Arabidopsis thaliana: one gene and its partners. The protein of the gene in region 1 interacts with the protein of each later gene in a pairwise test. Each region holds a gene or a part of one and is shown on either strand. Other genes may lie near its edges.

Evidence for each region. The genes of interacting proteins can lie anywhere in the genome.
Region 2: the proteins of MYB65 (region 1) and AGL89 interact in a two-hybrid assay, tested with the Arabidopsis thaliana proteins (one large-scale study listed by BioGRID).
Region 3: the proteins of MYB65 (region 1) and AT2G39020 interact in a two-hybrid assay, tested with the Arabidopsis thaliana proteins (one large-scale study listed by BioGRID).

What each region holds. Positions count from the first base shown.
Region 1 is NC_003074.8:3,600,284-3,605,672, reverse strand, and holds MYB65 (myb domain protein 65), read right to left. Parts: upstream 3,638-5,389; 5' UTR 3,468-3,637; intron 3,325-3,467; exon of another isoform or gene 3,144-3,324; intron 2,790-3,143; exon of another isoform or gene 2,683-2,789; 5' UTR 2,618-2,682; coding exon 2,246-2,617; intron 2,127-2,245; coding exon 1,118-2,126; coding exon of another isoform or gene 1,092-1,117; exon of another isoform or gene 1,025-1,091; coding exon 744-1,024; 3' UTR 501-743; downstream 1-500. Other genes in the region: AT3G11450 (DnaJ and Myb-like DNA-binding domain-containing protein), read left to right, coding at 1-214. UniProt on the Arabidopsis thaliana protein: Transcriptional activator of alpha-amylase expression that binds to 5'-CAACTGTC-3' motif in target gene promoter. In vegetative tissues, inhibits growth by reducing cell proliferation. Promotes the expression of aleurone-related genes (e.g.
Region 2 is NC_003076.8:9,734,784-9,737,876, reverse strand, and holds AGL89 (AGAMOUS-like 89), read right to left. Parts: upstream 1,353-3,093; 5' UTR 1,227-1,352; coding exon 555-1,226; downstream 1-554. Other genes in the region: CDC20.5 (cell division cycle 20.2, cofactor of APC complex-like protein), read left to right, coding at 1,629-2,981.
Region 3 is NC_003071.7:16,293,154-16,297,049, reverse strand, and holds AT2G39020 (Acyl-CoA N-acyltransferases (NAT) superfamily protein), read right to left. Parts: upstream 1,911-3,896; 5' UTR 1,659-1,910; coding exon 948-1,658; 3' UTR 555-947; downstream 1-554. Other genes in the region: PIP2E (plasma membrane intrinsic protein 2E), read right to left, coding at 3,304-3,432, 3,511-3,651. UniProt on the Arabidopsis thaliana protein: Probable protein acetyltransferase with dual specificity triggering both N-alpha-acetylation (NTA) and epsilon-lysine acetylation (KA).

The DNA of each region.
Region 1 (5,389 bases):
CAACAATGGTGAAGTAGGTGGAAGTTCAGACGCAGATAGTTGGTCGACTGTGCAAGAAAGAGCTTTGGTTCAAGCTTTAAAGACATTCCCGAAAGAGACAAGCCAAAGATGGGAGAGAGTAGCTGCAGCTGTCCCTGGTAAAACGATGAACCAATGCAAGAAGAAGTTTGCAGAGCTTAAGGAAATCATTAGAAACAAGAAAACCGGAGTATGAGGTAAAATCATTTCGGAGTCCCATGAGAATTTTGGGTTTTAATCCTCTTGGGGCACCGTTACTTTGCGAGAAGCAAGACCTAAAACTTTTTTATTATTTGTAATGATTCATTTCCCTTTGATGTCTCTATATATTGAGAGTGCTGGAGCCACTATTATGGAGTATGTTGTTTTTTACATAATCTTATGTAACGTTTGATTAGCGTCTAGTTTCAAGTTGTGAAATAAAGCGCATCGCTCATGCTGCTGTGTCTCCGGTCCCAATTAGAGGTTGGGCTACAATAAGCCCTAATTTTGATTTGCTTCTTTACAATCTAAACAAAACCAATCGAGCTAGTATGATGGAAGTAGCAGGAACAAGAAATGAGTATATATAAATGCCTTCCAAGTATAAGAAAAATCAGGTGAAGAAAATCCAAATTTTTACCAAGTCCACAAATCTTCTCTCAACTATAACAAACCACCAAGTCATGTAAGCCAGGTGCATGAAAATACAGAAAGATTCAAATTGTGTGATATGGTTCATTTTGTTACAGCGACCAAACAGGAGGCATATTGGTCCATCCATAAGACCCGACGCCTCGTGGTGCTTGACCTGATGATGACCCAACAGTCACGTAACTGTTCCCAATGTCGTCACCACCAAGAAGTGCAAGCGCATCACTCATGCTGCTTGTGTCACTAACAATGCCATAACAGCCTTGGTCAAGCCAGCTCGACGCAAGTAAAACATCAGGCCGTGTTATATCAACTCTCTTTGGTTCCCAAACCTGATCCAACTCTTCTGTCTTTACAACATTCCCTGCAAAAGCTTCATATACGAAAACCAACACAGCTGCATAAGAATCAATATGGAACAAGAGTAGATAAGATACCAATCAACAAGTAACTTTGATCAACTCACCTGATGAAAAACCACCTGCACTAAGTTGCGAGGGACTTGTAATCTCGGAGCGACCCAAATACTTTTGGGAATCTTCATATTCTCCTGATTTGATCAGGTTTTCGCTGCCACGTGGTACATTCTGAGTAACATTGGTCGTGCAAGTAGTTGAACTGAAACTCTTCTGGGGTGATGACATCAACAAACTGTGCTTCGCACTAGTTTTGATCTTGGCCTCATGAAGTAACATATCTAGTAGGCCGGTGTCGCATGAAGAGAAACAATCTGACTCCTCTACCTGCGATGGTGGTGGAGATTGAATATAGGCATCAACAGAGTCAAGGAGATCTGAGTGTGGAGGTGACGGAGTCGTCTTCCACTGATCAAATGCACTAGTTTCTGAATATTGGAATGAAGGGAGCTCCAGCTTCACTGCCCCAAACAAGGGCTTAGAAGTAGGATGCATGCCATACGTAACTGTATGGCTATCAGGAACCATCATCATATGAGACGAATGTTGGTTTTCATAAGGATGATGATCAACATCACAAGGCGAGATACTGCAAGATCTGGGATTCTTCTGTACAGCCGTATTCTGAAAGTGTTCCGGCGATTGGAATTCATGCTTTATGTTACTGCTGCACATGGGAAACCGAGATCCAGATTCCCAGATTTGCTTTGGGGAAGGCAATATTGGTGGCATGTAGCTCTCATACCGGGAAGAACTTGCGCCAGTTCCTAGCATGTTGCATGCAACCAAATCTGATAGGTCAGAAGCGGCAGGTAACAAGCTAGCAGCAAAATTTAGATCGTCAAATAAGACATTATCTTTAGAATTCCCCAACTGCAAGAAATCTTGATGTCTTCTTCTTCTATCTACTCTTATGATATTACTCTTTGTATACTCTTCGCTCCAATGAAGGTCATCAACATAGATTTCAGGAGGGTAAAGTGGTAAGCCTGCTCGTTGTCTCCTCTTGATACGAGTGTTCCAATAATTCTTTATCTCATTATCTGTTCGACCAGGTAACTGGTAAACAAGAAGAAAACATCATACCAGAGATTAATTAGTCTTTAGGCTCACAAAGAATATCAAAATATGAAAATGGACCATGATCAGGTAGCTTCCGCAGTTACAAAACTACTTACATGTTCAGCCATCTGTGCCCATTTATTTCCCATCTTGGCGTGCATTTCAACAATGAGCTGTTCTTCTTCTTGGCTAAATGCTCCTTTCTTCAAGTTTGGCCTCAGATGATTAGCCCATCTCAGACGACAGCTTTTACCACAACGGGCCAGGCTAGTGTGTTTCTGCACAGCATTCCAGTTACCCTCGCCGTGCTTCTTTACATAATCAATTAAAATCCCGTCTTCAGTTGAAGTCCATGGTCCTTTCTTCAGGACACTTCTTTTCCCTCTACTTCTGCAGCCATTGCTAATACTATCAGGAGCTGGTGATTCATTATGGATGCTGGAGTGCATACCATCATCACTATCAGCAGTCGCCGTCGTGTAACTCATCTCTTTCTACTTAAAGCAAGACAGACTCCAGCAGTTCAATAACAATTTAGACATCAAGCTCCAACCTGAACCAATTAAGAGGAAAAAGAGACAAATTAATATTTCAGCCAGCATTCATGTAGTTATCAACAAAATAATGACATGATAAACTTGTAAAAGGAGGCGATAATTGAAAAATATGTCTAGTAGATTCATCATATCTACCGCTGAGATATGAGTTGATACTAGGCAACAACTAAAAGTCTGTAATGAAATTTCTACAGAACACTAGTGACACCATTTTGACGAATAGATTTCGTATTTGAATGAAAATCCAGAAATGGAAACCAGAAACTAGCTAAGCACCATTTTATAGCTCTGATACTTTGAAATGACTTCTGTATCAAATTCGCAATCTCTAAATCTTAGTTCCAATTTCGAATACTAATAAATCGATTTTCAATGAACCAGAAATTACGATTGAACAATCAAAATCCATATATACAAGAATCAAAAAGCAGCAACTAAAGGTACAACAAAGACGAACCCTAGCTGAGGTAAAAGTAAGCTCTATATTGAGTATCTAGCAATCTGAATACAATCAGCAAACCATAGACAAATACGAAGTCGTCGAGATCTACAACATGAGACGAAATCGGAGCTCGAGTTTGAGCTGAAGATATCCGATTTGGTTATCGGAAAACACACAAATCGTAAATTTGAATCGGAAAAACGTTAGCTAAAAATATCAAGCTCAACAACTGATTAGAGAGAATGAAAACAGAGATTGAAGATCAGAGATCCGTGGAAATGGATTCAAGAGCTAGTAACGGAAGAACAATCTAGAAGAAGAAGAAGAAGAAAATATTACCAGGAGTGGGAGAGAGATAACGCGGGAAAAAGCTCGAGAGAAGATATCTCAGAGAATCGACAGAGACAAGGATGGAGAAAGAGATCAAAGTAACAGAGGAAGAAGATTCATCAGAGCTGAACAGAAGTGGAAAAAAGAGATGAATTTAGAAATAAACATCAAAATATTAAAACTCTCCTCACTTAATTAATTATTTTGCTTTTTATTTCCGCGTTATAAATAAATTATAGAATAAAAAAAACACTAAGAATCCAATATCTTTATTAGAAAATCAATTAACTCAAAAAAAATCCCGTATCTTTTTTATCAATTTTAAAATTTTATAAAATTCAAAGATTTTAGGTTTAAAAATAATAATCGTAATATTAATATTTACGAAATGTATCATTTAAAAATAATTATGGATAAAGGTTTGGTATAATCGTATACGTCTTGATAAAAAGGAACCCACCAAACATAAATTGGAATGTTGTACTTTAATTTAATGATGTATAAATGAGCTTATTGACGTAGATACGTTGAGATTACGAGAATCCGCACTCATATTAACTACTGTACTAGTGTCATTCATTCTTTGTCAACTAATAGATTATGACAGTGATTCTCTAGCTAATCAGACGATTGGCTTGAATCTGTTTCATGTCACAGCTTCTTCACTATATAATATACATAGTAAATATTTGTTGTCAGAAGTATATAATGATGAATAATTTGGTTCTTATTAAATTATAAAAAATAAAAATTGGTTCTTTTTTTTTTTTTTTTCCTTGGGCTAAAAGCCTAAAACCCAAAGATTTTTAACTCAAATTGAGGAACTGCTATAGTAGGATCCACATGTGCCCATATTGATTTCGGCATCGAAGAAAAACAAAAAATTGGGCTTTAAAAGTGGATCTTCATCATCCATGAAGGTGGTATATCAATTCATCTACCGACATTTGTATTACAAAATATTATTGAGATAGTAGTAACCAATATGTTAAAATTCAACCATAGCACTGTTTTCCATCTAGTTAACAATTAGCTAAAGCCTTTGAGGAAAGAGGAAGGTGAGCGAGCGCGTGGACCTCGTGATCCTGAATAGCTCACGTATTGTTTGTGGCCTGAATTCTGGTTATGTACATAAATAATGTTGTATGAAGATAAGTACAGGCCTGACGCAAGCCCGACAATACAAGAAAAATGATAAAAGAGAAAGATGATAAAAATGCTAATGTACCATATATATGATCCATTGCACCAAACCCACAAAGATAAAAAGGTGCTTTCGGCTTTTTGGCTTATGTTTTGAGACTCTAGAAATAAATATATTCTACTAATAAGTGTGGTAATGTATTGTTCAACATATATCTTTCAACGCTGCCGAATTTGAATTCGAATTATGTTTATTTATAGTCTTATAGAAACTATTTGATTCAATCAATTAGAATACAAATAATTGGTTTTTAAAAAGAAGTTACATAAAGTATGTGAAGAAAGGGATGGAGGGAATAATAATATAGAAATATGGAAAGCAGTGTAACTTGGTAAACGTACGAGGAACGTAAAGAGATCAGTTCCACTTCTCCGTGTCTCACGCTTGTCTCTTCCCTCTCTACCTTTTCTCTATTTCGTTTCACACCTTTTATTTCATCTTAAAACTTGCTCACTAGTAAAAGAAATTCTGACGATTTTCAGCAAACCATTACTGATGATTAGTGTTTGATCTTTAAATTCGCTGACTAAATAGTTGGAAATTTATTTGACGGTATAACTAAAAATTATCTAACCAAATCAAATATTTAAAATCCACCATATAGAGTAACGAACTTCGACAAACTTAATACATTTCGATGGATTCTTTAGCATGAGTGATCTGGTAATTTGATATCATAGTTGATGGCTTGAACACAAGATAAAACGATTTATACAGTCTTTTGTAG
Region 2 (3,093 bases), on another chromosome or scaffold:
ATTATCTGCATAAGTTATGGATATCTAACATTCAATGTCTATTGTATATGTCAATCCTCCGGATACACTTTACTTAAGCTTGTACAAACATGAATCAAAAGACCTATGATAAGCTAGGAGGCACGTGTGGTAGCTCAAACGGATTCGTTGAGGCTCGTGAATAAGCAAAGAGAAGCAGAGAAGGCACGTGAAAACAGAGCAAGAAGAAACAGATTGTTTAACCACTAGCTTGAGAGTCTAGTGAGTTGTATATAAATAGATAGAAGGTTATTGCACAAGTTATGCATGTATTGATGTGTGTGTAACAAACCATAGAGGAGAGTTAGGAGATCTCTTGAACAAATCTCCATTGTTAGGGCTTGGAAGAATTTTAATCGGAAAATCACAAGGCATTGTAATCTGGAAATTCACCATTGGCTTCTAAATCCAACAAAGCCAACTAATTGACTCAGACAAAAATTGAATTGAGAATAGCATTCATAATGATAATACTTAGGAAAAACATACAATTCAACACAAACTCTTAATCAGACAATTAAAACTCATAATCTAAACTAGAAACAGATCGAGTCAGGGACTTGATAGAAGCTTCCGCTGTCATGGTTATAGACAAAGACTGAATATTTGCTCTGATGGTTACTCAATGGTGACGTCGATAGGTCTTGCTCTGTGTTTGACACACCAGTCACCAATGGTTCTGTCCATTGTTGATGATGATGATCCTCAGGAGAAGACAATGGATTCGTTGTGGAAGAAACCGCACGGCTCTGACCTAGCTCGGTCTGGTTCTCGGGTTGGAGTAACAGAAGCTTATCTTGTAATACCCGTAGACCACTTTCTAGCGAATCCTTCATCTCTAAGACTTTCTCCGACAATTTATTGTCGTCGAGGATCTTTTTACGTAGAAACAGAGAAAGGTTTGTTCTTTTCTTGCGTCGCTCTCTCTCGTGTAGTTTGCTAAACCTCTCAGCCATGTCTCGAACCTTGGATTGATCTTCCGGCCATGTCTTGATGAGTTCTCCGTCACGACCATAATATATGACACAGACTTCGATGTCGCACAGAGTTGAAAGCTCCAAGGCTTTCTTAAACATGGTCTCTTCTCTCATAGACAAATTCGTGGTCTTTTTTGCAGTAGAAGAAGAAGAAAGAGACGATTTCTTGAAACAAGTTTGGTTTCTCACAGACAATTTGGTTTTCTTCTTCGTCGACATTGAAGAATCCATTGTTGTTGTTTACACGGTGAAAGAAAGAAGCTTTAGTTTCTTGCAAAGAGAAAATAAAGTCAGAGAATTGGGATTAGGGTTTATATTGAATTTGTTAAATTCGATTTCCATATTTATTTCATTTTTCTTCAGTAACTGTAATGAAAATCTTTTATTTATTTTTAACGGAAATCTGAATTAGATCCGATTTCCATTTTACTAATATCTAACCGTTGTACGTAATTGACAATTTCTATGTAATGAATTAAAGAAAGCAAAAAACCCTAAAATTGCCACAATCTTCCTTCACTATTCGCTATTCGCTCTCTGTCTCTCTGCTTTGAATCTACTTTACGTTTCCTTCTTCGCAGGTTTTATTTGTCTCTTTGTCATATTTCGTTTAGTCTTCTTCTAATCACAGTTATGATGAACACTTCTTCACATTTAAAGGCACAAGCTTCGTGTCCACTTGTAGAACACTTTCTCCGTCGGAAACTTTCCAAGGAAAACTTCGACAGATTCATACCGAATAGATCGGCCATGGATTTCGACTTTGCTAACTACGCTCTTACCCAAGGAAGAAAACGTAATGTCGATGAGGTAACTTCAGCATCAAGAAAAGCCTACATGACGCAATTGGCTGAGGCTATGAATCAGAATCGCACTCGGATTCTCGCTTTCAGAAACAAACCTAAAGCTCTGCTTTCTAGTAATCACTCTGATCCTCCTCACCAACAACCTATATCCGTAAAGCCTCGTAGATACATTCCTCAGAATAGTGAGAGAGTCTTGGATGCACCTGGAATTGCGGATGACTTCTACCTTAACTTGTTGGATTGGGGCAGTTCTAATGTCTTAGCCATTGCTTTGGGAGACACTGTTTACTTGTGGGATGCGTCTAGTGGTTCTACATATAAGCTTGTGACCATTGATGAAGAGGAGGGACCTGTCACAAGTATTAACTGGACGCAAGATGGTCTTGATCTGGCAATTGGTCTTGACAACAGTGAAGTCCAGCTTTGGGATTGTGTTTCCAATCGTCAAGTGAGAACACTGAGAGGTGGTCACGAGTCAAGAGTAGGATCATTGGCATGGAACAATCACATTCTAACAACTGGAGGAATGGATGGAAAGATCGTCAACAATGATGTGAGGATCAGATCATCTATTGTTGAAACTTACTTGGGTCACACAGAAGAGGTTTGTGGTCTTAAGTGGTCAGAATCTGGAAAAAAACTAGCAAGTGGTGGTAACGACAATGTAGTACACATTTGGGATCATCGTTCTGTCGCTTCCTCAAACCCAACTAGGCAATGGCTGCATAGGTTTGAGGAACATACAGCTGCAGTGAGAGCTCTTGCTTGGTGCCCTTTCCAAGCGAGTTTGCTTGCAACTGGTGGTGGTGTAGGTGATGGGAAGATTAAGTTCTGGAATACACACACTGGGGCTTGCTTGAATTCAGTAGAAACTGGCTCTCAAGTTTGTTCATTGTTATGGAGCAAAAGTGAAAGAGAGTTGCTTAGCTCACATGGGTTTACACAGAACCAGCTTACACTTTGGAAGTACCCATCTATGGTGAAAATGGCTGAACTCAATGGTCATACATCAAGAGTTCTTTTTATGGCACAGAGTCCGGATGGTTGTACCGTGGCTTCTGCAGCCGGTGACGAGACTCTCAGGCTTTGGAATGTTTTTGGAGAACCACCTAAGACCACCAAGAAAGCTGCTTCAAAAAAATATACGGATCCATTTGCTCATGTGAATCATATTAGGTGAATCTACTGTGAAGACTAACAAGGAGAAAACCATTGATAGGTAATAATGTATAGAGAAGCAATGTATTCATCTTTTTTCCTGATTCATTATTCATGAATTTTATATAGTTAAT
Region 3 (3,896 bases), on another chromosome or scaffold:
GATTTTGAGTGTAAATCCAAATATTTTTCATAATATACTCTTCCAAAGATGAGATTTTTTGTTCAAAATACTTAACGGAATGCATGATATTAGTAGAATGTATCTGTCCAGTTTTATGTCCAGTTTCATGTTTAACAAACAAAAAACTAGTCTCACTCTTTTTTACTTTTGGTTCAGTTTTAAAGTTTTACCGATAAATTGCAAGTGAATTAATCTCAATCAAAGAGATGTTCTTTAAAGCCAGTAGGACAACTAGAGATGTTGAAGTGTTTGTGCATTCTTCTACAAATTTTACAACCCACTTAAGCCCATTTATAAGAGTAGAATCATTTTCGTAAAATGGGGTCTTTTGTTCTCTATGTTAACACAAAAGCGGAATGTTTTGTTGTAGTAATAAAAATAGATGAATTTTTGTTTCATGCTCACGGTTTCTTAATTCTCTATACAACAAGACAGAGAGTCAGAGACTACTAAAACTTAGTTTTTATTGTCTTCTATAGTAACTGAAGCAAGAAGGCTTAACCTATATAGTTTGCAATTAGACTTGTGTGTGCCTCGCAAGCAACTTAACCATTCTACATTTGATCACAATTTCTTCATTTGACCAATTTATCTGTACTCTCCAATTCACTGTCCTCTAGGATCACAAAACCAATTCTTCAAATCCATAACACAGAACAAATACTTTGGTCAAGCAAATATGACGAGGAATCACACAAATACATAACTCTTACTTTAAAAACTCGAAACATTTCATACATTCAACAAAAGGGTTCTTTTTTCTCATTCAGTATCCAACAAGTAAGCATAGAGAATTCATCATCATCATCATCATCAATGCCAACACTTGCATAAAGTAACAACAAGAAGAAGGAAAAAAAACACAAACTTTAAAAGCAAGAGGAAGTGATCTGATTCGATAACTCTCAGCAACACAGCATCAATCTCTAGATGTTGACCTGATCAAAAGCTTCAAGAGCATCACCAGTAAGTCTACAAACTCTCCACTCCTGCAGAATCTGAGCACCCATCTGCTCATAAAACTTGATAGCATTAACATTCCAATCAAGAACAACCCATTCCACTCTTCCATAACCCATCTTCACCGCTTGTTTGGCCACAGCAGTCAACAACATGCTACCAAACCCTTTCCTCCTATAAGGCTCTCTCACAAATATATCCTCAATGTAAAAACCAGGCTTGGACAAAAAGCTAGAGTAATTCGGGAAAAACAGAACAAACCCAGCTACAACGACGTCGTTCAACATATCCGGCGAGAAATTGTAACTCTCCGGATCATCAATCGGGAGATCAAGGTTATGTGTTTTGAAAAACGGTGTGAAATCGGGAGATGGTGATGAAGTGATGGTTGCTGGAAATGGAGAACGAGAGACTTCTAAGAGGAAGACTGTGAATGATTGGAAAGGACGAGAGGTGAAGAGTGTTGAAGCGAGACCTGATTCGGTGGCGGAGAAGAGATGCGTGAGACGTTCGAAGACTGCCATTTGGTGAATTAGTTTGTGGATGAATGGGACATCGGACGGTGTTGCCAGACGGATCCGGGAGAACATTGGGTGGCCGATTGGTGAAATTAGTGGTGCTACCATGTTTGGTTCCGGTGCTGCTGTTGGTGGCGGTGGCGGTGCGGCGGCTGCCATTTTTTTTTGGTACTGTGATTGTGAAAATTAGGGTTTATATTTGGGGGGGGGGGGAGTGATAGTGAGAACGATGGAGAGGTTCTAGAGAAGCTTGGGCGGTGGTTTTTCTTGTGCTATGTGTATTTTTTTTAATTAGGAAAGTAATAAAATAAGTATGGATTTTGAATGAGCCCAGCCCAAAGTTTTTATGGATTTTGTATGAGAGTTACTGAACCCAGCCCAAACCCAGTGTTTTTACTTTTAGTAACCCCCTTACATACGTAACCAAAAGCTAAACCAAGTTATTGTTTTTATGGATTTTTATTGTTTCTTCTTACCACTACAAAAGTCAATACAATATTTAACAAGTTCAATTCATATATAGTAAGTATTAATATAGACAAAATTTCAAAATATAAGTCTAAAAAATTATGTACTTATTCATTTTTAAAGACACATTGTTCAATAAAATAAAATAGGTAGAATAATATATGATACCAATAAACCCACACGATGTGTGTGAGTTGATTTCTAATAATATTCTAATTACCAACTTTATTTTCTCTAAGATATTATTTTGAACCTAAACTACACATGCTCAAAAATATGAGCTAGATCTTGCATATTTGGAAGATCGGCTAAGCTACCACATCTTACAACAATCGCATGATATTAAATGTGAAATAGATTTCTTTTATTGGTTTTATTAACATTTATATATACATTTTTATTGCTAAATATGTCAATTTACTAGTGTAAACAATGTTGCATTTATTGCCGATTATCTACCTATTCTCAAGAATCATGCTAGACTCTACCCTCTCTCTTAGTATCCATACAAGATGTGTCAGACTGATGCTAAATCTGGTAATTCTATGTTTCACACCTGTGGATATTGGTTGGGTTTCTACTTCTGATTGTTGGTGTCATGTTCATTATGCGGTTGAAAAAATATAGAAAATAGAGGAAGGTGCCATATAAGTTGTGAGATGTTAAGATCTCACTAGATGGCAATACCAAAGAAATAGAGGAAAGTAAGAGGAACAAGATAGTAAAGAAATCTGAGGGGAACCAGATAAAAGAGAAAAGTGAGAGGATTTGGTTTTTCTCCTATACATAGCTAAACATGTGTCGTGAATCATTTATTTTTATTTCAACATTTTATCCATGGCGTTATCATTTCAACATTTTTTATTTGTTTGTTTGAGACGATTACAAATGTTTGTGCCCTTTATTTTTCAGTGATTGATAGGATGCACCGTTGATGGAAAAGACCCAAAGGATCTTTAGCATGAAATTTTAAGATTGTGATCGACATTGACATTCCTGAGAATTTAGGAACAATAGTAGTTTATGGTTTTGGAGTTTGTGTTTTTTTCTATGAAATTTAAGTTATAATGATGATTGATCAAAGATAGAATCATCAATAAGTAGATATATAAATATCATATGCATCAAATAACACATACATTGCTTGTACGTTACAAATTGTTACACACAAACCTCCCCCACAAAGCCACAAATAAGACACAGTAAATGTCACTCACCGACCATCTTAAATAATATTCGTTTTTTCTTTTATATGATTTGGGTCCCTTTTTTTTTTCCTTCCTCCCTTCCTGGCCCAAAGAATTCTTCACCTCTTCGCTAGTTCGAAATAACAAATTTAAGCATGGAGCTCATGAAGCTGGCTCCTGACTGACCCATAGGCCTTCATTGCACCAGCTCTCAACACAAACTGATGGTAAAATGCTGCAATGGCTGCACCCACAAATGGACCGACCCAGAAGATCCACTGTAGTTATTAAAACAAAACTCATTAATATGTTAATTTAAAACCCAAGAACGAATATCAGATGGTGAAAATACAAACCTGATCATCCCAAGCCTTTTGATTGTTGTAGATGACGGCAGCTCCAAAACTCCTAGCCGGGTTTATTCCGGTGCCAGTAATTGGAATTGTGGCTAAATGAACCATGAACACGGAAAATCCAATTGGCAATGGTGCTAATACCTACAATTCAATAATTTCATACAAAATAAATCAACTTACGTCATTAACAATCAATGACATAGACATTTAAATTTGAATGAATCATAGGTACCAAGATTACTAGAATGGGAAAAAGAATCAATTAATGACCATGTGCATAACAGAAAGATTTGTTTTGTAACGAATCATATATATTTGCAAGGACAAATATCATGGAAAATGTATGTACACATACACATGGGTCGTTGTGGAAATGCAAAATATGG